7 linked regions of the Ovis aries genome follow. The protein of the gene in region 1 interacts with the protein of each later gene in a pairwise test. Links are inferred from orthologs where the notes say so. Each region holds a gene or a part of one and is shown in the gene's direction. Other genes may lie near its edges. The genes, in order: USHBP1, synaptojanin-2-binding protein, UBXN11, FAM110A, PRC1, TXLNB and CNNM3.

The links.
Region 2: the proteins of USHBP1 (region 1) and synaptojanin-2-binding protein interact in binary tests that used the Homo sapiens proteins (3 or more experiments, as listed by UniProt). The two-hybrid records come from large-scale screens. The link is inferred for Ovis aries from reciprocal best matches to the Homo sapiens genes USHBP1 and SYNJ2BP.
Region 3: the proteins of USHBP1 (region 1) and UBXN11 interact in binary tests that used the Homo sapiens proteins (3 or more experiments, as listed by UniProt). The two-hybrid records come from large-scale screens. The link is inferred for Ovis aries from reciprocal best matches to the Homo sapiens genes USHBP1 and UBXN11.
Region 4: the proteins of USHBP1 (region 1) and FAM110A interact in binary tests that used the Homo sapiens proteins (3 or more experiments, as listed by UniProt). The two-hybrid records come from large-scale screens. The link is inferred for Ovis aries from reciprocal best matches to the Homo sapiens genes USHBP1 and FAM110A.
Region 5: the proteins of USHBP1 (region 1) and PRC1 interact in a two-hybrid assay, tested with the Homo sapiens proteins (2 studies listed by BioGRID and IntAct). The link is inferred for Ovis aries from reciprocal best matches to the Homo sapiens genes USHBP1 and PRC1.
Region 6: the proteins of USHBP1 (region 1) and TXLNB interact in binary tests that used the Homo sapiens proteins (3 or more experiments, as listed by UniProt). The two-hybrid records come from large-scale screens. The link is inferred for Ovis aries from reciprocal best matches to the Homo sapiens genes USHBP1 and TXLNB.
Region 7: the proteins of USHBP1 (region 1) and CNNM3 interact in binary tests that used the Homo sapiens proteins (3 or more experiments, as listed by UniProt). The two-hybrid records come from large-scale screens. The link is inferred for Ovis aries from reciprocal best matches to the Homo sapiens genes USHBP1 and CNNM3.

What each region holds. Positions count from the first base shown.
Region 1 is NC_056058.1:5,623,409-5,626,676, forward strand, and holds part of USHBP1 (harmonin-binding protein USHBP1), read left to right. Parts: intron 1-1,402; coding exon 1,403-1,528; intron 1,529-1,702; coding exon 1,703-1,839; intron 1,840-2,024; coding exon 2,025-2,165; intron 2,166-2,453; coding exon 2,454-2,627; intron 2,628-3,247; coding exon 3,248-3,268.
Region 2 is NC_056064.1:26,357,139-26,360,041, reverse strand, and holds synaptojanin-2-binding protein, read left to right. Parts: upstream 1-1,242; 5' UTR 1,243-1,337; coding exon 1,338-1,775; 3' UTR 1,776-2,403; downstream 2,404-2,903. UniProt on the Homo sapiens protein: Regulates endocytosis of activin type 2 receptor kinases through the Ral/RALBP1-dependent pathway and may be involved in suppression of activin-induced signal transduction.
Region 3 is NC_056055.1:240,540,999-240,545,032, forward strand, and holds the start of UBXN11 (UBX domain-containing protein 11), read left to right. Parts: upstream 1-1,234; 5' UTR 1,235-1,290; intron 1,291-4,034. UniProt on the Homo sapiens protein: May be involved in the reorganization of actin cytoskeleton mediated by RND1, RND2 and RND3. Promotes RHOA activation mediated by GNA12 and GNA13.
Region 4 is NC_056066.1:59,933,525-59,937,716, reverse strand, and holds the start of FAM110A (protein FAM110A), read left to right. Parts: upstream 1-1,392; 5' UTR 1,393-4,192.
Region 5 is NC_056071.1:20,993,648-20,997,147, forward strand, and holds part of PRC1 (protein regulator of cytokinesis 1), read left to right. Parts: intron 1-2,552; coding exon 2,553-2,685; intron 2,686-3,039; coding exon 3,040-3,162; intron 3,163-3,500. UniProt on the Homo sapiens protein: Key regulator of cytokinesis that cross-links antiparrallel microtubules at an average distance of 35 nM. Essential for controlling the spatiotemporal formation of the midzone and successful cytokinesis.
Region 6 is NC_056061.1:64,243,629-64,247,128, reverse strand, and holds part of TXLNB (beta-taxilin), read left to right. Parts: coding exon 1-196; intron 197-3,500. UniProt on the Homo sapiens protein: Promotes motor nerve regeneration. May be involved in intracellular vesicle traffic.
Region 7 is NC_056056.1:103,718,564-103,722,657, reverse strand, and holds the start of CNNM3 (metal transporter CNNM3), read left to right. Parts: upstream 1-1,294; 5' UTR 1,295-1,329; coding exon 1,330-2,683; intron 2,684-4,094. UniProt on the Homo sapiens protein: Probable metal transporter.

The sequences.
Region 1 (3,268 bases):
TCCCTGGTTTTATTTTAGACTCCACATATAAGTGAGATCATGTACTATTTGTCTTTATCTGGCTGACTTATTTCACTTAGCATAGTGCCTTTAAGGTCCTTCTGTGTGCGTGCTAAGTCATTTCAGTTGTGTCCAACTCTTTGTGACCCCATGGACTGTAGCCCATTAGGTTCCTCTGTCCATGGGATTCTCCAAGCAAGAATACTGGAGTGGGTTGCCATTTCCTCCTCCAAGGGATCTTCCCAACCCAGGGATTGAACCCACACCTCCTGCGGCTCCTGGCCCTGAGGTCCTTCTATATTGTCCCAAATGGCAAGATTCCTTTTTTTACAGATGAATAATTTTTCATTCTATAAATATACTTACCACATCTTATCCATTCATCCATCCGTGGACACTTAGGTTGCTTCTGTGGTTTGGCTCTTGTAAATAGTGCTGCAGTGAACGTGCGGGTGCCGATGTCTTTTCAAGTCAGCATTTTGGTTTCCTTCAGAGAAATACCCAGAAATGGAATTGCTGTATCATATAGTCGTTCTATTTTGACTTCTTTGAGGAACTGCCATACTTTTTTCCGTAATGATTGTACCCATTTGCATTCTCAACAACGGTGCGCGAAGGTTCCCTTTCCTCAACATCTTCGCCTACACTTATCTTTTGCATTCTTTGTTTCTTTTGGCCTCGCCATTCAGCAAGGCATGCAAGATCTTAGTTCCCCTGACCAGTGATCGCACCCCTGCCTCCTGCAGTGGAAGGGCGGAGTCCTAAGCACTAGGCTGCCAGCGAAGTCCCTTTCTTGGCTTTTTGATGCTTGCCATTCTAACCGATGTGAGGTGGTATCTCATTGTGGTTTTGACTGCATTTTCCTAAGGATTAGTGAGGTTCCCCCAGTGGCTCAGCAGTCAAGAATCCGCCTGCAGTGCAGGAGCCACAGGAGACATGGGCTCGATCTCTGGGTCGGGAAGATCCCCTGGAAGAGAGCATGGCAACCCACTCCAGTATTTTTTCTGTTTTTTTTTTTTTTTTGCCTGGAGAATCCCATGGACTCTCATGCCAGAGGAGCCTGGCAGGCTACAGTCTGTAGGGTTGCAAAGAGTCAGACACGACTGAAGTGACTGAGCAGGCACGCATGCAAAGATTAGTGATGATGAGCATCTTTTCATGAACCTGTTGGACATCTGGAAAGAGAAGTCTTGATTCAGGGACTGCATGACTGAATGGCTGACCAACAAGTCATGGCTGAATGACTTGCCCAAGGTTGTACAAGAAGCTATTTGGCAGGATGAGAATCTGGGGGGTCCTACCTTCCAGCCAGTGCTCTTGCCACTGCTCCAAGAACAGGTCTTAGGGAAGAATGGCAGGTGGTTGGAGCCACCCCAGCCTTACATTCCCCATTTCCCCACAGGTCCAGGAGCTGCAGGATTCCCTGCTGAGGCTGGAGCCCTTTCCACCTCCTTCCTGTGACCAAGCAGGTGGCTCAGGTAGTGGTTCCAGCAGCTCTGGGGCTGATGGAGAGACCTGGGGCTCACAGGTGAGTATGTGAAACTAAAAACCACGGTCTGTTTCAGATCCTTAGTGTCTGGGGCCATGAGACTCAAATCCTGGTCATGTGATCCAATAGTTTCGGGGATTGGAAAAGGCCTAAATCCTAATGCTGGGCTCTCAGTGAAAATTCTGGGTGAATCAAGTCACCTCTTTTCGACAGGATCCCTTCTCCCGGGCTCACCCCCTGCTCCGGCGCCTGCAGAGTGATTCCAGCACCCAGATGCTTGGGTCTCTCCCAACCCAGCCCCTTGCTCCTGAGATGCACATCATGGAAGCCCAGATGGAGCGACTCCGAGGGTAAGAGTCACAAATGCTGGGCTCATAAGGGCACTGGTGCCGCCCAGCTGGGATATAAAGCCAGGAGTCTGGAGCTGGAGTGGGGGTGGGGTGGGGAAGGTGGGGATGGGGTGGGGAAATCAATGGTGTCCTAACTGCCCTTCAAAGTCACTCACTTTTCCCTCTTCCCCCACCTCCGGAGGCAGGAACATTGAGAAACTCAAATGCTTCAACCGCTTGCTGTCAGCTGTGCTCCAGGAGTACAAGGGCCGGTGTGAGAGCCTCAGCATGCGGCTGGGCCAGCGGGAGGCCGAGGCCACTGCGCTGCGTCTAGCCTTGCAGTATAGGTCAGTGCACCCCAGCCACGATTCACATGCTTTCTACTGCCTGGGAAGGAAATGGATATCCTCAAAGGATAGTCCTACTTCCCAGAGAGAGACGGAGCCCTCTCAGAAAAGTATTTGCCCTTGCCGTGGAAATTAACTTAGGGCAGTTTTCGTCCCAGGGTGCTAAAGGAATTTACAAACTCCCAGGGTTGGGGTTAGGAGGAGGAGTGACAGATCCAGGGGCAAGTGGGAGTGTCACCTACGCAACAGGATGGGTATGCTGGGGTGCTCAGAACTGCTGTCCCACAGTGAACACTGTGAGGAGGCGTATGGAGCCTTACTCGCTCTCCGGGAGGCAGACTCAGGAGCTGGAAAAGGAGCCTTCGTGGATGACTTGGAGGCAGCTGAGAAGGAAGCTCAGAGGCTCCTAGTGCAAGAGAAGGCTGCCATGGATGGAGTGACACTGCAGGATCCATGTCCAAGGTGCCCTTGGGAGCCCTGGGGACTGGGTGGGCCAGTGAGTGGGGCTCTGGTTGCAGAATGGGGCTCCCAGAACTGGCCCTATATTGGGGGCTGGCGTGGCTCCTGAGGTTGGCATTAGGCCTGCCGGAGTTGGCTGTTTTCTACTCAGCAAAGTTGACATGGTGGTTACAGCCATTGGGGGTGGGATAGGACCCACCAGGGTGGCATGAGGATGGCTGGTGGTGCCCACTGATCAGGTGGTATGATGGTGCTTAATGGGGTTGGCATGATGCTGGTACCCATAGGGGTTGTCATGATGCTGCATAACAGGGTTGGCAGGTTGAGCAATGGTGCTCATTGAGTTGGTGTGATGGCTTCCCTGTGATGGTGTGAGTGACTGTGCCCATTGGCGTGGTGGTGTTCATTCATCACTGATGAATGATCATTGGCGGGCTGATGTTGCCCGTTTGGGTTTACGTTATGGTGCCCACCATGTTAGTTTGACCGTGCCTACCACAGATGGCCTTGGAAGGAACCATCACGGTCAGTAAGATGGAAGATGACAAAGCGCACCAGGATTGCATGAAGTTAGTGTAGCCACGCTGAGCAGAGTTCACACAGGCCTCTCCTGTCTCCTGTAGTCCCGAAGGCAGCAGCGTGGA
Region 2 (2,903 bases), on another chromosome or scaffold:
ATTCTTGCCTGAAAAATTCCATGGACAAGAGGAGCCTATAGTGGGCTCTACAAAGTGGGCTCTACAGTCCATGGCATCGCTCAGACACGACTGAGCACACACACACGCTCCACTCAAATACAAATTGTCTTATTCTAAAGGAAAGAAGCCCTAAATGGAGAAGAAATAAGATCTCCAGTTGTTACATGGAGTGACTTACCTACTGCATGAGATGTTGATTCCTTGCTCCACCCGCTAAGAGCTGGGACAGCCAGAGAAGCTTCAGGGAATTTTAAGGGGAAGATCCTCAGGACGAGTGGTCCGGGCAGCTGCTAGGGCCTTACCCCCAAAATCCCCCAACCAGAGCTGGCTGGCCATGAGCAGCAAGACTGGCTGCTCATACTGCTTTGCCATATAATAGGTCAATAAATCAAGTGACAAGTTGTTGGGGTAAGGAATGGCAGCCTGAGAAGATGGCAGACTTGTGTCCTTATGAACCATCTTCCTTGAGTTAGAATCCAGGCTTCTTTTAACACTGAAAGAGGAGGGAGTAAGGCCCTGGTTCTGGCCAGACTCCAGGAGGGATTTCCTCCTGCCTTCAGTCTTTCACAGATGGGCCTGGTCAGGAAGATGCTTCCTCGTGAGCTAAACGAAGGTATTTTAGCTTAGTGTTCATTACCTGGGTGACAAGTGTCCCAGAGATGGTCCATTATGGGTAATTTAAGCTTAGAGGCAACATCCCGTTAGTGATTAACTTGTAGAAGAACACAAAGGTTCTTCTCCCTCTTATAGTCACACAAGTAGATTGGCAACGACGCCTGAGACTTACAGTCAGCTTTATTGATCATGGACACCTGTGTTCGTTTTACAGGCCACAGAACCGTTTCACATTCACCATTTTGGGGTCTCCTTTCTCGTCCTGTAAGGTCCTTCATAACCTTACATTGAGGGTCCACACAGCTTTTCCATTTCCCCACACACCCTTGAAACCTCAGCTCCTCCTGGTAATGCCTTTTCATTGCTCATTTTAGACTTCAGTCGCCCAGAAAGAATCTCATTGGCACAGCTCACCTCCTTGCACATGGCTGATATGGGTACCGGCTCTAAAATCTGCACTGCTGCTCATTCCACAACCTCTGGACGAAGGCTGGGCCAAGGACTGTTGTGATAAATGCAGCTATTTATTCAAACATTAATAGGCACCGACAGGTTTCCCTGCACAGGGCCAGATGCTCTGGTTAGAGAGATGAATAAGCCATGGCCGAAAGTGCGGTGTTGTGGCTGCTGCCGGTAGTGCTTCTCACCTTCAACCTGCACCGATCCTCGCTGACCCCGGTCGGGAAGCCAGAGATTAAAATATGAACGGAAGAGTGGATTACTTGATTACCGAGGAAGAGATCAATCTCACCAGAGGACCGTCAGGGCTGGGCTTCAACATCGTCGGTGGGACAGATCAGCAGTATGTCTCCGACAACAGTGGCATCTTCGTCAGCCGCATCAAAGAGAACGGGGCTGCAGCCCTGGATGGGCGGCTCCAGGAGGGTGATAAGATCCTCTCGGTCAACGGCCAAGACCTAAAGAACCTGCTGCACCAGGATGCTGTGGACCCCTTCCGTAATGCAGGCTATGCTGTGTCCCTGAGAGTGCAGCACAGGTTACAGGTGCAGAATGGGCCCATAGGACCTCAAGGCGAAGGGGAGCCAAGTGGTATTCCCATAACTATGGTGCTGGTGCCAGTGTTTGCCCTCACCATGGTAGCAGCCTGGGCCTTCATGAGATACCGGCAACGACTTTGAAAAACTTGCTTTCTTCCTGTGCTCCCAAAGAAGAAGATACATTTCTCTTTTTCTCTCACCCTCTCCTGCCAGTCTTCCATAACTTTTCCCTCTACATAGCCAGCTCATGATTTCAAGAGACTGCTACCCAACCAGAATCTTGCTATTTGAAATCTCTGAATCCTCATTTTCTCATGGGAGAGTAAAGGCAGTGTCTGAAGGAAACCCGAAAGAAGGACTTGCCTAGAACAAACGAAGAGTTATATATTTTACTAGAACCGCCAATAGAAGTTCAGCTACAACCCAAAAAATGGGAAAGGTCCAGTCTTCCCATCACCCTGCAGTATTCCTTTTTTTCTTACCTGGCATGCATCAAAGGCCAGCTGTAATAAGAGGAAAAAAGGATTTTTCTCTTTAATGATCTTCCTTGGGAAGTTTTTGTGGCCTTTTATTTAATTTCTAACTATTAATACCTACTTGGGCACCTACTTTGTATCAAACAAAGATGATTGAGAAGAACATTTCTACTTTTTAAAACAAACATATATATATATATACACACACGCACACACACATATATATACGTACATATTCATGTATGATATTATAATAGTGATGCCTTATGGAGAATTAAAGAAGTGGAAAGCAACTCCGGTTTCTAGGTTTCTGCTATAAGGATTAAGTGATAGTCTTCAATAGAAGAATTCAGTATGTAGCAAGAGTAATAGAGTGAGGCTTAAAAGAGGATAGCAATCTGAGTCATTTAAAAAAACGAAAACTAAAGCAACTAATTAAGAATCTTAAAAAAAAAAAAAAAATAAGCCATGGCCCCAAGGAGGAGGAAGACACCTCACAGGTGACAAGCAGAAGCTGTGGGTAGGGTCCCGTGTCACTTAGCTTCTTCGCACTGCAAGAGTCAGATTCACGAGCGAGGTCTCCTGTAGGTTTTCACATAGACTGGGACAGCCCGGAAAACTGTCAGCACCCACGGCAGCCCAGGGACTGACCGCTGCTGCCTTTGCCCTGGGCTCCTCTCACGCCTGCTTTTTCTATCTCGTACGTCCTCTTCCTACTGTGTGGTCTCTGCTGTCCCGTGTCTTCCACCTCATCTCACCCCTAGTCTTGGCCCCACATCAGCCTTGACCTCTC
Region 3 (4,034 bases), on another chromosome or scaffold:
AGACATGCAGATAAAGGGCTTTGGTAGTTGAGCCAAGGTATAAGGAAGTGGGTGCCGGAAATCATAAGACACCCAGATCATCACAGCTGGATGACTGTGAGATAATGATAACAAAAGTTAAAAGCAGGAAGTGTTTTGAAAACTTACTCTGTATGGGTATTGTGATAGTTATTCAGTACGTATTGTCTCATTTAATTCTCATGGCAGCTCTGTGGGGTGGGTTTGTGGTGTTTGTTCAGTCACTGTCATATCTGATTCTTTGGGACCCCATGGACTGCAGCACACCAGGCTTTCCTGTCCTTCACTGTCTCCTGGAGTTTGCTCAAACTCATGTCCAGTGAGTCAGTGATGCCATCCAACCATCTCATCCTCTGTTGCCCTCAATCTTTCCCAGCATCAGGGTCTTTTCCCACAAGTCTAGTTTTCACATCAGGTGGCCAAACTATTGGAACTTCACCGTGAGCTTTTCCAATGAATATTCAGAGTTGATTTCCTCTAGGATTGACTGGTTTGATGTTATTCCCATTTAACAAAAGAAATTAAGGTAACTTGCTCAAGGACACACACACAGCCTGGGACTCCTGGTGCCAAAGACCATGCTCTTAACAAAACTACCTCTAGTTGCTCTAATCCAACAGGTTGTTTTTCATGTGAGGCTCAGGAAGGGGAAGGGTCTCACCCAAAGTCACTCTAAGTATCTTACCCAATGGCAGCAGTCTTACTCGAATTTTTACATAAAGGAAATAGAATCAGAGCGTCTCTTCGGGGCGCCAAGAAATTAGCAGAGAAATGCAGATTTAAGAAACATTTATTAAGTACTTGTATCATTTCAATTCATGCTCAAAAGAACTTCCCTTTAGTACTGTAGTGATCAGATGGAAAAACAAGCTCACCAGGATACATGTAATTTCTCCCAAAATCAATTTAATAAAACAGTGGCATGGTCAGGACTGCACATTCAGGTCTAGAGGCTTCCAGCAGCTTCGTGAACCTAATCCCAGTTCTCCGCTTTCTGTGCCTTGGAGTAATAGGAAAGGACTCTCAAATTGCCCTAAACCCAGAGTCCGCTCAGAGCGGCCGGTTTTGGGATTTGCAGTCTTCCCCGCGATGAGTTTAGACTTCGTGGGCCAATAGAATTCGAGTAGAGACAGCTGTACCCGCCTCCGCTGCCTCCTGGTTGCTCAGGGACTCCTCACGGATTAGCCAATGAGAAGCACAAGGGTCCTGGTTGCCTGGGAAACCGTGTGACAACAAGATGGCGGCGCCGCGGGTGGTTCTGCGGCTTGCGTGGTGAGTTACAGAAAGGCCTCAGACCTTTCTCCTCGTGGAGTCCCTCTCACATAGGCTGGGGCCCTCACCGCGAGAGCCTCGAGGATATGCGAGCCCCACATCCCGGCCCCTCCAGTAGACTCTCCGCGCCTGGGAGCAGATTCAGGCCGCTGCCTACCACGGCTACGGGCGGAGGCGGGGGGTTGGCGACGCAGCTTCCAGGGAGGGTCTGGTGGTGGAAGTCGGTGGTGAGCGCTTCCAGCTGAGATTTAGGGAATGAAGGTGTGCAGCCTGCTGGCCCGTGTCGGCGCTGGCGAGCACTGGGACCTGTTGCAAGACCAATTTGACTCTCAAAGCTTGAGTCTGAAGAAGCAGGCAGTCTAACCTTTAGCCGCCTCTGGCTTGAGGAGGAAGACACAGTCTCCCGCCCCAAGAAAAAACGCAAAGTGAAGGGAATAGACGTGGCTTTGCCCCCAGGGTTCCCAATCTGAGGGAGGAGACACAGCCCTTCTTCGCTCAAGAAGTCCCCAGGCTGAAGGAAAGGAATAGCCTTTGTCCTCAGGGGTCTCCTATGATCACATGGGAAAATTGATCTGGAGACTGTTGGATTGGCCTGGAGTGAGATTGGAAGCAGGGAAGTCGGTTTGGGGCCATTGTAACAGCCCCAAAGAAGGGCAGTGAGAGTCCCACTAGGATGGCCAGCAGGGGGCCACGGGAGGAGGAGCTATGTGTGAGAAACGTGCAGGGTTTACCCTGCAGGATTCCGGAACTGCAGGGATTAGAGGAGAAAAAGGAGGGAAATTTTTTGTGTTTGGATAATGAGGTCCTCTTCAGAAAGGGGAAGCGGGAGGAGCTTATTTCGAGAGATATTTGGTTTGGTTTGGAGACCAGGTCCTTTTTTTTCCCCCTATAATAGCTTTATTGAGATACAATACACATACTAGATACTTCACCTCTTTAAAATGTAAACTTCAGTTGTTTTTAGTATATTCACAGAGTTGTGCAGTCGTAACTACAATCAAATTTGAGAACATTTTCACCAGCCCCAAGGAAACCCTGTACCTTTAGCATCTCCCTCTCCCCAGCTCTTCCTAACACCTCCAGCCTTAGGCAACCATTAATCTATCTTGTCTCTATAGATTTACCCATTCTGGACTGAATCCTAACAGTTGGTGGTTTTTTGTGACTGATTTCTTTACCTTAGCATGTTTTCAAGGTCCATTGACACTGTGGTGTGTATTGCATTTCTTTCTTTTTTTTTGCCAAATAATATTTCATTGTAAGTGAAGTCGCTCAGTCGTGTCCGACTATTTGCGACCCCGTGGACTGTAGCCCATCAAGCTCCTCTGTCCACGGGATTCTCCAGGCAAGAATACTGGAGTGGGGTGCCATTTCCTTCTCCAGGGGACATTCCGGACCCAGGGATCGAACCCAGGTCTCCCTCATTGCAGGCAGACGCTTTAACCTCTGAGCCACCAGAGAAGGAAGGATATACTATATTTGTTTATCCACTTATTGGTTGATGAACATTTGGGTTGTTTCCAGTTTTGGGCTATTTACAAGTAATGCTACTTATGAACAGATACACAGGTTTCTGTGGATGTGAGTTTTCATTTCTCTTGGGTGTACACCTAGGCATGGAATTGCTGGGCCCTAAGATAACTGTTGAACCTTTAGTTCAGTTCAGTTCAGTCGCTCAGTCGTGTCCGACTCTTTGTAACCCCATGAATTGCAGCATGCCAGGGCTCCTTGTCCATCGCCAACTCCTGGAGTTCACTCAAACTCAGGTCCATCGAGTCGGTGATGCCATCCAGCCATCTCATCCTCTGTCGTCCCCTTCTCCTCCTACCCCTAATGCCTCTCAGCATCAGAGCCTTTTCCAATGAGTCAACTCTTCCCATGAAGTGGCCAAAGTACTGGAGTTTCAGCTTTAGCGTTATTCCTTCCAAAGAACACCCTGGACTGATCTCCTTTAGAATGGACTGGTTGTCCAAGGGACTCTCAAGAGTCTTCTCCAACACCACAGTTCAAAAGCATCAATTCTTTGGCGCTCAGCTCTTTTCACACTCCAACTCTCACATCCATACATGACCACTGGAAAAACCATAGCCTTGACTAGACAGACCTTAGTTGGCAAAGTAATGTCTCTGCTTTTGAATATACTATCTAGGTTGGTCATAGCTTTTCTTCCAAGGAGCAAGTGTCTTTTAATTTCATGGCTGCAGTCACCATCTGCAGTGATTTTGGAGCCCCACAAAATAAAGTCTCTCACTGTTTCCATTGTTTTCCCATCTATTTGCCATGAAGTGATGGGACCAGTGATGGGACTCCGTCTAGTCAAGGCTATGGTTTTTCCTGTGGTCATGTATGGATGTGAGAGTTGGACTGTGAAGAAAGCTGAGTGCCAAAGAATTGATGCTTTTGAACTGTGTTGTTGGAGAAGACTCTTGAGAGTCCCTTGGACTGCAAGGAGATCCAACCAGTCCATTCTGAAGGAGATCAGCCCTGGGATTTCTCTGGAAGGAATGATGCTAAAGCTGAAGCTCCAGTACTATGGCCACCTCATGCGAAGAGTTGACTCATTGGAAAAGACTCTGATGGTGGGAGGGATTGGGGGCAGGAGGAGAAGGGGATGACAGAGGATGAGATGGCTGGATGGCATCACTGACTTGATGGACATGAGTCTGAGTGAACTCCGGGAGTTGGTGATGGACAGGGAGGCCTGGTGTGCTGCGATTCATGTGGCCGCAAAGAGTCGGACATGA
Region 4 (4,192 bases), on another chromosome or scaffold:
CTCAGTCCTGTCTGACTCTTTGCAGTACCATGAACTATAGCCCTCCAGGCTCCTCTGCCCATGGAATTTTCCAGGCAAGAATACTAGAGTATTCTTTCTCCTTCTCCAGGAGACCTTCCTGACCCAGGGATCAAACCTGTGTCTCCTGCATTGGCAGGCAGATTTTTTTACCACTAGGGCCACCTGGGAAGTCCATTACGTAAATATAGTACATGTGATATTACCATTATGTATTTAATGCATATTTGTGTTGTACATAGTGCTTTGAAACATACTTTTGAAAAATTCAATCTTTCTTAGTGCTAAATATATTTTAATCATATCATTTTTAATGACTGTATAATATTCCTCAGCAAAAAGTGAGGATATTTAAAGGTACTTATCAGAGGGTTATGCCATGAGCAGTGATGAGAGTTTTGTCATGCAAAGCTTCTGGTATATATAAAAACCTCAATAAATTCAGTTCTTCCGCAGGATGGATTTATATAACCAATTTCCTTTCACTGAGCACTTAAGTTATTTTCATTATTTTGCCATGATAAAGAACGCAGGGCATATTAATCTTCGCTCACATCCTTAGTAAATTTCGGGACTGCTGGGCATGCCCATCTTCACACTAACTTGCTCAGCATTGAGCAGTTAGAGGAACAGACAGGAAAACTGGCTTGCACTGGTTCACATAGCCTGTCAGCTGAAGTCAGGACTGCTGCTGCTGCTGCTAAGTCGCTTCAGTCGTGTCCGACTCTGTGCGACCCCAGAGACGGCGGCCCATCAGGCTCCCCCGTCCCTGGGATTCTCCAGGCAAGAACGCTGGAGTGGGTTGCCATTTCCTTCTCCAATGCATGAAAGTGAAAAGTGAAAGTGAAGTCGCTCAGTCGTGTCCGACTCTTAGCGACCCCTTGGGCCCACCAGGGTCCTCCGTCCATCAGCTAAGTCCCGGGTGAACAAGAGAAAGAATTAGCCGCTTGAGCTAAAGGGGCTGCTCAAAGAACCTGAGACCACCGGGAAGCTGAAGGGCGGGGAGGGACTGAGAAGGCAGGGCGCTCCCACGCCAGGCCGAAGCTAAGCCGTTGCCTGGCAATGCGGGCGGCGCGGAGTTCGAACGGAAGCGAGAAACCAATCAGGATGTCCGGGGCAAACCATTCTGGTGTCGGGGAGGGGGGTGAAGCGACGCGCTCATTTCCCCTTCCCCCGGTGCCCCGGGGTTTTCGCTTCCCCTCTGTGCCCCCAGACCTTCGCTCTGTCTGGGACCTTGGGACAGTCAGGTTCTCCGGCTTATCTCGGGTGCGGAGCACAGCTCCGAAGAGGCCCCCGCGGGTCCTCACGTGGGGCTTGGGCCTCCCGAGCCGTGTTGGGTGCGGCCATTCCCCGCCTGACTGGGTCCGAGCTGTCAGCCTCCTCAAGACCCACACTGGAGGAGCGGGACTCGCCTAGGCGAGGCTCCTTGTGAGGGCACGGGTGGTCCGGGGCGCGAACCCGGGTGTAAGGGGGCGCTGTATTCACCCCTGCGGTGCGTGTTCTCTCCGAGTCCTACGAGGGTACCCCATTTCACAGATGAGAACGCTGAGGCTCAGAAAGACGAAGTCTGGCAGAGAATCTGATTCAGATCTTTCTGCTCCATCTCGCAGTCTCTAGCATAATAGTTCTAGATTTGCCTTGAGAGACCCTGACAGGTAACTGGTGGTCGCTTTCTTAGCCTCTGATCAACAGGAGCATGAGAGCCCTGGCTGCATCCGCTCCAGGCTGCCTCTCCCCAGCGTCGGCCTGGGGTCTTCTCCCCACCATCTGTCTTCATTTCTCCAGAAAGCCAGGGGTGGACTTGGGGCTCACTTGAGATCCTTCAGCTTGCAGGGCTCTGAATTACAGAGCTCTCCCTCTCAGAGAGAAGATACGGGTGGCTCAGGCAGGACTGACATTTCTGAGCTAGGTGCCAGGTGGGGAGCAGATGCTTTGGCCCTGGAATTGCTGTAGGACTCTTGGGAATCTACTGCGGGTTGGGCAAAAGGGTAGGCACAGCCCTCAGCCAAAGACGCTAGTCACCAGAGACACTGGACTTGGTCCTGGGCCCAGGACCGCTCCTGGTAGAGCATCTGACCTACACCAGGCCTTACCTCCTGGGGAACCCCCTCCCCACCTGCTGGTTGCTATGGGTTTCCTTTCGTAGGTGGGCAAACTGAGGTTCTAAAAAGTTAAGCCCCTTTGCCCAAAACCACATGGTCAGACTTGGCAACTCTGGGGCTGGTTCCCAATCTGTCTGGCTTCCATCTTAGAATCCTAGACACTCAGAATTGTAGCATCTGGGAGTCTAGAATCTCTTCAAGGGGAATTATTTATCCTCTCTCCTCCAAACCAGTCTCCTGGCTTTAAAGGGAGCAGAGCTCTGGAAATTCAGAAAGAAAACAAGTCTTCATTCTTTCAACAAATATTTACTCACTTCATATGCTCTGCCTTGTCTATTTTGTTTTTCTCAGTAGCATTTACCCCATCCAATGTCCTATAATTTCACTTATTAGCGAGTTTATTATCTTCCCGGACTGGAATGTGTTGCAGGGAAGGGTTAGGGTGAGGTAAATGAGGTAATCGCCTCCAGTGTGAAACTGAGGGGTGCCCAAAGCCCTAGGAATCAAAATGACTAATGCTAACATTTATTGATCATTTTTGTGTGTTCTGCTGGTGGGAGATCAACTCCCTGGATCACAGTCCCTCATCTCTGTCACAATTACACATGCACCCCCTGACCTAGCTGTCCCACTTCTGGGCAGAATGATATAGGTGCAGTGAGCCCACAGTGTGGGGTTTTTGGGTTTTTTAAGGCTCTGCCTGAGAACTCTTTTATTTATTTGTTTATTTTTGGCTGGGCTGGGTGTTCGTTGCTGCCTGGGCTTTCTCTAGTTGCAGGCTTATCATTGTGGTGGCTTTTCTTGCTGTGGATCATGGGCTCTAGAACTTGGAGGCTTCTTTTGTTGTGGCCTAGTTGCTCCATGGCACGTGGGATCTTCTACCAGGGGTAGAAGCCATGTCCCCTGCATTGGCAGGCAGATTCTTAACCACTGGCCCACCAGGGAAGTCCCACAGTGTGGTTTTTAATAGAGACTAGACACACGCTCAGTGGCCATTGGTAGGGACTGATGGGCTCTTTATGTAGTACAACATATATTATTTTGTTAATAACATTATAATTAATAACATGCTAATAACATATTAAGAACATATATTATTCAATGAAAGAATAAATGAAAACAATGCACAGAACATGTTGCTATGTGTAAAAAAAATAGAATATATGTCCATTGTTGCTTGTATGTGCCTGAAATCTCCCTGGAAGGACATATAACCATCTGATCATAATGATTCTTGCAGGGAGGGGAACTGGGTGGCTGGGGATAGGAGTGGAGGGAGGTGTTTTTCTTTTTTTAATTTCCTTTACAGCTTATGAATCTTAAGCCATGCACATGTATCACCTGGTTGAAAAAATATGTGTGTATTATAGATTGTTTATCTAATCATGAGACCACTGCCCTGTCTATGATCTGTCATTAACTTTCTTGTGACTTTGGACAAGGTTCTTGACATCTCTGCGCCGAGAAAAGAAGCCATGATGGTGCGCTTCGGCCCAGGCAGAGGGCAGTCCGGGACAGGAAGTGGGCTTGGTTGTGGGTCTGTCCCAACTCCACCTTCCGCATCCTGTGTGCCAGGCCCTTCCCTAAGGCTTTGCGCGCAGTATCTCTCTTAGTCTGCACTGCGAGTCCCTTTGTCCTCATTTGGCAAGCTCAGGTGCAGACCTGAGGCCCAGAGGACTGAGTTGGTGGAGGTGTGCAGTTGGTGGGCCAAACGGGAGATTGCTGCCTTAGGCAGCTGCACCCACACCGCTTCTGTGGCCTGTTTACCTTTCTCTTCCTGAGGTTTGTGCAAGGTTGCCCTGGGCAAGGCTGACTGCAGGCAGGCCAGGGCACGAACATCTGGGAAAACTCCAGAAATAGTGTGGGGCCTGGCGTGGGCCTGGAGGATGCCCAGCTGGGTGTCTCTGGCCCTGGCAGCTGTCCTGGAGTCTTCTGCTGCCTGGAGCCTTCCTGGCTCCCTCTGGGGCAGGAGAGGGCCTCTCTGTCTCCACCGAAGTCTGGGCTGGACTTCTGCTAAGGAAAAGGAGAAGCAGGTGGAAGGGAGGGGTGAGGTGGAAGTGCACAATGTCATA
Region 5 (3,500 bases), on another chromosome or scaffold:
TTTTTTTTATTGTTGTATGAGCTGTTTGTGTATTTTGGAGATTAAGCCCTTGTCTGTCACATCATTTGCAAATATTTTCTCCCCATTCTGTAGGTTTTCTTTTCATTTTTTTTATTAATTAATTTTTGGCTGTGCTGGGTCTTTGTGGCTGTTTCTCTAGTTGCGTTGTACACGGTGCCTGGACTTCGCATTGCAGTGTCTTTTGTTGCAGAGCACAGGCTCTAGAGCATGGGCTCAGTGGTGGTGCGCACCCGGCTTAGTTGCCCCAGGCATGTGGAATCTTCCCAGAGCAGGAATCGAACCCATGTCCCCTGCGTTGGCAGGCAGATTAACCACTGGACCACCAAGGAAGTCCCAGTAAATTCTTTTAAACACTCTTCATTATGTGTGTATTGATATTGCCATCTGGTATAGGCAACTAGTATCTGTGCAAAAGTTTTTCTGCAACTAGGACAGGAAACCTTTACATTGGAATTTCTTGGCTAGAAAAATGTCTTAGAAATAAGTATATTAAAACTATGGAGAAACTGATGTTCGTGGCGATGTAGGCTGGTGATTCAGAACCCCTGAATATGCTGTAACAGAGAGGGGGCCAGTGAGAGCCTCTAGCCTCATTTCTTGCACAGAACAACTTCAGTGACTTGTTCCAGGCCTCCTGGCTGACTGGTAGCAAAGCACATCCAGAGCTTAACTTTAACAGATACTGCCAACAGTCTCAAGATGGTGTACTAATTCACTCCAACCAGTAGTGTGTAAAAGTTCTGGCTTTTCTATATACTCATCAACACTGATCAGGGGTTAATATCCAAAATATACAAAGAATGTATACAACTCAACATTAAGAAAACAAACACCCTTACTGAAAATGGGTAGAGGATCTGAATAGACATTTTTCCAAGGAAGACATACAGATGATCAACGGGCACGTGAAAAGATGCTTAACATCACTAATCAAAAGGGAAATGCAGATCAGAACCACAATGAGATAAATCACCTCACAACTGTCAGAATGGCTTTTATTAAATATAACAGATAACATGAATTGGCGAGGATACTGGGAAAAGGGAACCCTTGTGCACTGTTGGTGGGGATGTAAATTGGAGTAGCCAGTATGGAAAATAGTTGGTGATCCCTCAAAAAATTAAATATAGAACTGTCAGAGCCTTCCCTGGCCATCCAGTGGTTAAGAATCTGCCTTGCAATTCAGGGGATATGGGTTTGATTTCTGGTCAGGGAACTGAGATCCCATATGCCACAACGAAAAGATCCTGCAGGCAACAATGAAGATCCCACAGCAACAAAGACTCAGTGCAGCCAAATTAAAAAAACGTTACAGGTATGAAATGGATAGTATGCAGAATGTAGCCAAGAACTAGGTAATATCTTGTATGGTGACCTATTGTAGCTAGACTTATTCTGGTGATCAGTTTGAAATGTATAGAAATATGTTCACTAATATTCACTGTGTTCTCTAGCAGGAATTAACATAGTGTTATAGGTCAATTATATTTCAGAAACAAGCAAATTCAGAGAAAAAGAGATTAGTTTTAGCTTACCAGAGTCTGGGGGTAGGGGGAAGGAAGAATTGGATGAGGGCAGTCAGAAGGTTATAAGTCAGGGTTTTAAAAAATTTGTATTTAATCAATGTATTTTTGGCTTTGTTGGGTCTTTGCTGCTACGTGGGCTTCCTCTAGTTGCTGTGAGCGGGGCCACTCTCTGGTCGCAGCACGCAGGCTTCTCACTGCAGTGGCTTCTCTGTTGCAAAGCGTGGGCTCTAGGGTGCGTGGCTCAGGTGTTGTGGTGCACAGACTCAGTTGCCCATGGCCTGTGGCAGGGACCAAACCTGTGTCCCCTGTATTGGCAATCAGAGTTTTAACCAACGAATCACCACAGAAGTCCAGATAAATCAGTATTAAGTAATAGGGATGTAATGTACAACATGATCGATATAATTGGCACCACTGTATGTTATTTATGAAAGTTGTTAAAGAGTAATACTGAGTTCCAGTCATAAGAAAAATAATTTTAAAATTTAATATTTTACCTATATGAAATGATGTTTACTAAACTTATTGTGATAACACTTCATGATGTATGTAAATCAAGTCATTGTGCTGTATACCTTAAACTTATACAGTGCTATATATTAATTATAGCTTAATAAAACTGGAAGGGAAAAAGATGAATAACAAATTTGCAATAAACTTCCAGCTGTTTTATAGGAGCTGACATTTTTGTCTGTTTTTCCGTAATATACTGCCATAGATAGAATCATTGATTGAAGTCCAGATTCTGAGTATTATTCAAAAGATTGAATTTACAGTGTAAGATTGAATTTCTACACTGTAACACGATACTGGATTTTGCTTTGCCAGGGTTGTGGTGTTTGTGGGGGGAAGGATAGGGGAGTAGTTAAAGATGAACTAAGTTGAATGCTTGTTTCCAATTTTTTTAGCCTTGAGCCCACTGAGAAACTAGTTTTAGTTTCTGTAAATACAGTTTTTAGACTGGAGGCAGTGGCTCATGTAGCTGGCTTCTCTTTTGCTTTTTAGTGAGGTGCTGGCAGAGGAGTCTATAGTATGTCTCCAGAAAGCCCTGAATCACCTTCGGGAAATATGGGAATTGATTGGCATTCCAGAGGACCAGCGGTTACAAAGAACTGAGGTTGTAAAGAAGCACATCAAGGTGAGTTTAGCAGCACTGGCCTCTTTGCAGTGGGACAGGGGTAAGGATGTTGTTGTCTCATCTAAAATAGCATATAGAAGTGACTCTAGGATGTCACAGGCTCCTCCCAGTTTTGTTTGCATGTTTGTTTTGGCCAAACCATGGGGATCCTAGTTCCCAGACCAAGGATTGAGCCTGGGTCCTCTGCACCAGGAGTGTGGAGTCTTAACCACTGGACCGCCAGGGAAGTCCTGTTTTTTTTTTAAGTCCTTTCTTAAAAGTTTGAAACTGTGAGGTTTTTGGTGTTATTTGTTGTTGTTTGACGCTAATGGGGGAGAACCCAGGACTTTTACAGGACTGTTTTCTCTCTCATAGGACCTCCTGGATATGATGATTGCTGAAGAGGAAAGCCTGAAGGAAAGACTCATCAAAAGCATAGCCGTCTGTCAGAAAGAGCTGAACACTCTGTGCAGCGAGTTAAATGTCGAGCCTTTTCATGTATGTGGCAGGGTGTCAGGGGATCTTGTTTGGGTCTGAGATTGAGGGAAGAACTTTGATTTGGAGCTCCAGGTGGAAAGTTTCCTTGTAGGGCTGATACTGGACATGAGAAATGGGTGGAACATGTTGCCTAGTTACTTGGTTCCAGCAAAGCTATTTTTTCACTTATATAAATAAGTTTCCCTGTTGAGAGGTGAAACACCTAAGTGTTGCAATGTTTTAATCAAAAACAAATTTCCTATTCCTATCAATTTGTAGGACATAAAAAATTTTTTAACTCTGAGCTTAGTTAAAAGAGGAATAGATGATATGATTCCATTCTTTCTGTGAAAGAAAAT
Region 6 (3,500 bases), on another chromosome or scaffold:
GCAGGGAAGGAGGGTACCACCATGGTCAAGGAGCAGCCTGAGAACACAGACCCACCTGACAATGAGGATGGAGACGGCGAGGAGGCCCCTGAAGAGGCGGAGAGAGAACCCGCAGCCACTGGAGAGCCATCCACAGCCAAAGAGCCTGTCAGCAACAAAGAGCAAAAACTGGAGAAGAAAATTCTAAAAGGATTAGGCAAGTAGTTACATTCTAATGTATGGTTTTTCTTTGAATTATTCCTAAAATGGGGCACTTCCAACCTTTGCTAAAAGCCATACCTCAAACTTGGATTTTAGCACAATAGCTTCCTTCGGGATCGCCCTACATCTTCTCTTACTATACTTGTCCCCAGCCCCCTCCCCCTCAACAGAACTAAAATGAACTTTTCAGTATGTTACCCATCTATTCTCTGTCCCTTGTGGTTTCCCACTGCTCATAGAACAAAGACCAGACTTCTTAACATTGTCTTTCAGGCCTTAATAGCTAACCCCAACCAGCTTTCTCTCATCAAGTTACCCCCCAAAGCCTCTTTTCTGAACACGCTGCCCTGATTACACCATTACTATCATCACCACCGTCTAGTAGTTGGTCATTCTCATCTTCTCTTTCAGTTCTTTCAACAGGCCATGCTCCACTCCCCGACAGGGCCCATGTCCATTCTATTTTCTCTACCTAGAAATCCCTCCCCACTTCCCAGTTCGGCCCTCTCAGAACTTAACTCATCACTTAGCTCACAACTCAAATGGCATTTTCTTAGTCTCACCCTGAAGTCTTGTTTTCCATTTCAGTTGTACTATATATCTTTTCTTCCTGACATTTACATTTGAGAGTATACATTTATTTTTGTGGTTATTTGATTAATACATCTCGTCCCCACTAGGTCTTCTATCTCAAGAGCAGGGGCAATGTGTGTATTTGGACATCATTGGATGTCTAGCATCTAGAACAGTGGTTGACATGTGCTAGGTGCTCAATGAATATTTCCTGAATATCCGTTATAAGGATGAATGAATGAGTGAATGAATGAAAAGGAAATTGTTCAAAGCAAAGCTAGTAGAATCTAGATTTAAACAAAGTCTAAATACAGGGATGGTTTTGTATATAAAATGATTGTCACTGGATCACTTGAGTATTTCCATTACTACACATATAAAATATTTTTTATTTTAATAAAACTTCAAAAATATATTGATTATGCTACTGCTGAGTCACTTCAGTCATGTCTGACTCTGTGCGACCCCAGAGACGGCAGCCCACCAGGCTCCCCCGTCCCTGGGATTCTCCAGGCAAGAATGCTGGAGTGGGTTGCCATTGCCTTCTCCAATGCATGAAGTGAAAAGTGAAAGTGAAGTCGCTCAGTCGTGTCCAACTCTTTGCAACCCCATGGACTGCAGCCTACCAGGCTCCTCCGCCCATGGGATTTTCCAGGCAAGAGCACTGGAGTGGGCTGCCACTGCCTTCTCCATATTAATTATAGAATGTTGAAAATTGCAGAAAATACTTTCACTTTCATTAGTTCACTGGTTCAGCAAATATTTACTAATGCCTAGTCTTTATGAGGTACACAAAGATAAAAAAAGATCTTTGGTTAAGGACTTTGGTTAAGTCTAGAGAGAAAGTAGACACATACACTAACTGCTATATAGGATAAGTGCTAGAACAGGCACAGGAAATTGTCAGGAGAGCATGGAGTAGGGGGGTTGGAAACACCTAAATGTCTATACAAGAAAGGTGAGAGAGTTAATTTTTTTAGCTATGAGTGAGGGCATGTTACTACCCATATGAGTGTCCTCTGCCTGTCTTCCTTGGTGAAATTTCACTGAAATACTCACTACAATCACTACCTCCTATGTGATACATTCCCTGACAGGCCCAGGTAGAGTTAGCATCATCTTCTGTAGTTCTCCATTAAATTTTCTGCAGCAATCATCTGTTTATATACCTGTATCCCAAGCTGGAGGGAGAATCTATTGAGATAGTGGTCACATCTTGCTCATTTTTGGAAGCTGGTGTGGCGGAGTGAAAGATCATGGGCACTGGAGTCAGAACTGGGTTCAGACTTCAGTGAATAGGTTATGTGCAAACCCCAAAGTATGTCTGTGCTGGCATAGGACCTCACTATGGGGCTTAAAAGCACTGCTGGTAATGCTTTCAAGAAGGGCTAAAAGACACAAACAGCTACTTTACCTACTCAGCATAAAGATTAACTCAGATAATACCAAGTTCTAAAGTGCAAGGTTGGAATCACTCTAGTGTTTTGGAACTTTGGGAAAGAGAATAAAGTTGTTCTGTGTTATAGAGGTATTTTCTGTTCTCCATCCAAGGCATCTCAGAAATAAACTTTTGCATTAGTCATTGTTAAACTTTCCATTGTTGAAAGTTAAGTCGCTCAGTCGTGTCTAACTCTTTGTGACCCCATGGACTGTAGCCCACCAGGCTCCTCTGTCCATGGGATACTCCAGGCAAGAATACTGGAGTGGGTTGCCATTTCCTTCTCCAGGGGATCTTCCCAACCTAGGGATCGAATCCAGGTCTCCTGCATTGCAGGCAGACGCTTTAACCTCTGAGCCACCATAATCACATTGCAAAGGTGAATGATTTCAAGTGTTTCTAACCAGGAAAGATCTTTGGCTTTATCACCCTAAAACTACTTCTACGTAGGAATTTGTATGTGTTATAATGGGGGATAGGTATGAAGAAAGCAGGGGAAAAGTTAAAGATGACCAATTTTTGACTGTCTTCCACGAGTTATTTCAAAATCTGTATTAACCTCATGTGCTGCTGTGTTCAGTAGCTCAGTCATGTCCAACTCTGCAACCCCATGGACTGTAGCCCTGCCAGACTCCTCTGTCCATGGCATTTTCCAGGCAAGAATACTGGAGCGGGTTGCCGTGTCCTACTCTAGGGGATCTTTCCGACCCAGGCATTGAACCTGGGTCTCCTGTACTAGCAGGATTCTTTACCTGATTCTTTACTGCACAGATGCACCTGGGAAGCGTATTAACCACATACTTACTTCCCTGGTGGCTCAGACGGTAAAGCATCTGCCTAGAATGCGGAAGACTCAGTTTCAATCCCTGGATTGGGAAGATCTCCTGGAGAAGGAAAAGGCAACCCACTCCAGTATTCTTGCCTGGAAAATCCCATGGACTGAGAAGCCTGGCTACAGTCCATGGGGTCGCAAAGAGTCAGACACAACTGAGTGACTTCACACTTTCCTTTACCAAATAATCAAAAAAATTTAGAGAAAGAAAAAAATGTCACAATTAATTCTGTCATTTTGTATAAATTACCAAAGTTCAATTGAATGTGTTTATCAGGACCAGTGTTTGTGATCAGAGTGCCCACATGGGTGCACACTAATTACATGCATATAAGCTGCTGATACTTTCAAGCTGTTCCTCTGAAGACTGTCGATATATTCTCTAAACATTGTACTATTTCAGCTACATTATGAGTTAAACTATATTTTTAGGCTAATTTAAATATGTAACCATTG
Region 7 (4,094 bases), on another chromosome or scaffold:
CTGAGTCTATTATTATTTTTTCAAAAGAGGCATGCCAGTCCGGTGGAAAGGGTCAAAGGTCATAATTGCTTCTGCTGGCAGCTTATTCTGGAGTTTTTCACACAATACTTTTGTTGGTCACTCACCACAGGTTTACTCATTTTTGCACATTACCTTCCACACAAGTATATTTCACTTAATTGTGACCACAGTGCCTAAGCTTTTTAATAGTATTTTCATGACAACATATGTGTTTCTATACAGCCCTTGCAAAGACCATTTTAAATGACACGTATATGGATGCTCTTATCAGTCTACTTATGTTAGGAAAGTTGAAAATACATAAAAATGCAGAAAATACAAAAAAACCATTTTGTCGGGACACTTATAGAGAAGTCTTGTTAGCTTGCGTGTTTCCTTCCAACCAGGTAAAGTTCACATATAACAGGTTGAGGAACATTCCATACTGTCAAGGACCATACAGTCTTCTAAAACAACAATCCTGGGAGGATCCTCTTGAATAGTTCCTGTTGGTCGTTAGGAATTACTTTCCCAAGGATGCTCTCCTAGAAGTGAAGTGACCAGATACAGTAATTTCTGACAGAGATGCCAACTCCTAGTGTTGCTGGGATGGCGACAGGATATTAGGCTGGTCGCTTTGGAACCCCTCATCCGTGCCCGAGTAGTGTTCACTTTTCTCTAGTAAAGTGTATCAATAACGAAGTAGCTGCGAGGATCCAATGAGGCGGTGATTTCGTGTATTTACGTCCTTCGTTCTCTCTGGCAGGGGTGCAAGTTCATCTAAGGAGGGACTGAGTGTGTGTCACGTCCCAGACCCATAGCAGAGTCGCGCGCGATCAAGGAATACTCTCAATAAGCTTTAGCTTCCGACGCCCGGTCGTCGGTTCTTTTAGCCCTCTTCGAGGTTTGGGTCGTCGGTTTCTGAGGAAACGGACCGTCTCCCTTCGTTAAATTATCTATCTGCAATTTCAGGAGCTCCACTGCTCTCGGCGGCCCAAGTGCCGAGCCAGGGACTTCCCAGAGTACGGGCCTGGCCTCCCTGCGCTGGGGACGGCCGAAGGGAACTAGACCCCCGCGGAGAGCGGGCCAGCTGGCCGCCCAGCGTCCTCCGGGTGCCGCGGCCCAGGCCCACAGGGCCCAGAGCCCCACGCCCCCGGCCCGCCCCGGGATCGCGCCGCGCTTGTTTACTCCCCGGCGCAGCCTAGTCCGACCCTGGGGCCCGCCCCCGCCCGCCGCCTATTGGCTGAAGAGGCTCCAGGGCTGGCGACGATTGGCCCGGCGGAGGCGGAGAGGTAGGCTGCACGGGAGGCCGAGAGGGGGCAGCAGGCGATGGCGGCGGCGGCGGCGGGTCGGCTAGGCTGGTTGCTCGCCGCGCTCTGCCTGGGCAACGCCGCTGGAGAAGCGGCGCCGGGCCCGCGAGTGCTGGGCGTCTGTCTAGAGGAGGACGGAGCGGCGGGCGCGGGGTGGGCGCACGAAGGGGAGGTGCGGGCCGCGCCGGAGGCCACCTTCCGCTTGCGCCTCTTCGGCTCGGGCTTCTCCAACAGCTCCTGGTCCTGGGTGGCTCCTGAGGGGGCGGGTTGCCCCGAGGGCGGGCCGGCCGTCGCGCCCGACGAAGCGGCGGCTCCCACGGGCGAGTGGCGTGCGTTGCTGCGCCTGCGCGCCGAGGCCGCGCGCCCGCACTCTGTGCGGCTGGCGGTGCGCGGGGAGCCGGGGGGTTCGGCGGCCGAAGAGGCGGCAGCCCTCACGGGCGAGTGGCGCGCACTGCTGCGCCTGCGCGCCGAGGCCGCGCGCCCGCACTCGGCGCTGCTGGCTGTGCGTGTGGAGCCGGGCGGCTCGGCGGCCGAGGAGGAGGCGCCGCCCTGGGCTCTGGGCCTGGGGGCGGCGGGGCTGTTGGCGCTGGCGGCCCTGGCGCGGGGCCTACAGCTGAGCGCACTGGCGCTGTCGCCCGCCGAGGTGCAGGTGCTGCGCGAGAGCGGCTCGGAGGCGGAGCGTGCGGCGGCGCGGCGCCTGGAGCCCGCACGGCGCTGGGCGGGCTGCGCCCTGGGCGCGCTGCTGCTGCTGGCCAGCCTGGCGCAGGCGGCGCTGGCCGTTCTGCTGTACCGCGCGGCCGGCCAGCGCGCCGTGCCTGCCGTGCTAGGCAGCGCGGGGCTCGTGTTCCTGGTGGGCGAGGTGGTGCCGGCCGCCGTGAGCGGGCGCTGGACGTTGGCGCTGGCGCCGCGCGCGCTGATCCTCAGCCGCTTGGCGGTGCTGCTCACCCTGCCCGTAGCGCTGCCGGTGGGCCAGCTGCTGGAGCTGGCGGCGCGGCCAGGGAGGCTGCGCGAGCGCGTGCTGGAGCTGGCGCGCGGCGGCGGCGACCCCTACAGCGATCTCAGCAAGGGCGTGCTGCCCTGCCGGACAGTGGAGGACGTGCTCACGCCCCTCGAGGACTGCTTCATGCTAGATGCCAGCACCGTGCTGGACTTCGGCGTCCTGGCCAGCATCATGCAGAGCGGCCACACGCGCATCCCCGTTTACGAGGACGAGCGCTCCAACATCGTGGACATGCTCTATCTCAAGGACTTAGCTTTCGTGGACCCCGAAGACTGCACGCCGCTCAGCACCATCACCCGCTTCTACAATCACCCACTTCACTTCGTCTTCAACGACACCAAGCTGGACGCCGTCCTGGAGGAGTTCAAGCGAGGTAACTGTTGGGGAATCGCGGAGGGGACGCGAATGTCAGCTCTCTCTCCCCAGAGAAAGAGTGGGGTTTAGGGAAGCCTTGGGGAAAGGTCCCAACCCGGTGGACGACAGGGAGGCCTCTGAGCGCCCTTTTAATGAAGTTGATGGTTTTTTAGCTCTGAATGAACTTGCAAAATATCATTTAAAGCCTTTGGTTCCGAAAATGACAATACTATAGACAACAAAAAGCTTTTCCGGGCAGGCCCCCAGTTTGGGGAGATACGTGTGCTTGATTCTAACTCTCCAGCTTTTTACCGGCTCATTTTTGTGGGCTTGGGCTTTGTGGCAGGTTCGGACTCTTGGATAGAAACTGAAAGAACGTAGAGTATACGGTCTAGATACCTGGACGCTGTTGTTTGCACATATGTAATACCAAACTAGGTGAACCTGTGATGTTTTTCCAAGGCGTCCTTGTTAAGGTCAGTGATGGGCTGTTGCCTTCCTGGTTACAGAAAAGGGTATGATTGATCATTACTTCCTGCAATGTGAAAGAAACTTCCACTTTGATTTCACCAGAAGCAACTTGATGGAGGCCAGTCAGTCTCCCCTTCCTTTAAAAACAATAAAACAAAACCCAAGTAAGGGCTCAAGTCCTCTTAACTCCACATTTTTGTCCTCTCCTTTGACCCGGGTTCAGGTGAAAACTGAGACCCTCCCATTGTGAAGGTTCGGGTTCTCCGGCAGTCTCCCTCTTGGTGATTGGGCTTGAGGTCCTCCCCAGAGCTTGGTCATGCTTCTCACACCGGAACTTCTGTAAGGACACTTCTGGACTCTGAATGAGCTTGACCGTAAAGACTGCATAATTGAGGCCGAGAAGTGAGCAAGGCCCCCTCATAATGACTTCCTGATAGCTGTGAAGTCTCCAGGTCCCAGGATCCCATAGGAGGTTCCCTGTGAGCCCCTGGACTGTCAGGGCAGGGAGGCAAAGCTCTGCCGTAGTGACCATTAGTACTGCTGCATGCCAGCCACTAGTGGGCACCCTCCTGCACCATCTCCTTAGTTTTAAAGAATTAGGCAGTTACTGTTGCTACTGTTTCTCAGGATTGGGTGGGAGACTTTGATGGGCAGCTCTGGCTGCTGCCCTGGAGAATCTCTGGGTGCTTCTGCTTGTTTCCTCAGAATGTAGCCATGCAGCCCTGCTCTGCAGGAGAGGAGCCCGGGATCCGGGCAGGCAGAGCCTCCTAGGAGCAAGTGCTCCATCTCCGAGTAATATGGTATTTCTGAGGCAGTGGTGGTTCTCGTGGCTGTGTGGCCAGCCGGGCTGGCCCTGGAGTCAGCAGGGGAGGGTACCATCCTGCCCCTGCCATCTTTCAGCTTGAGGCCAGGCTTGACCACCAGGGCGGTGGCTGCAGGCAGAGCATAGCACCCTGTTT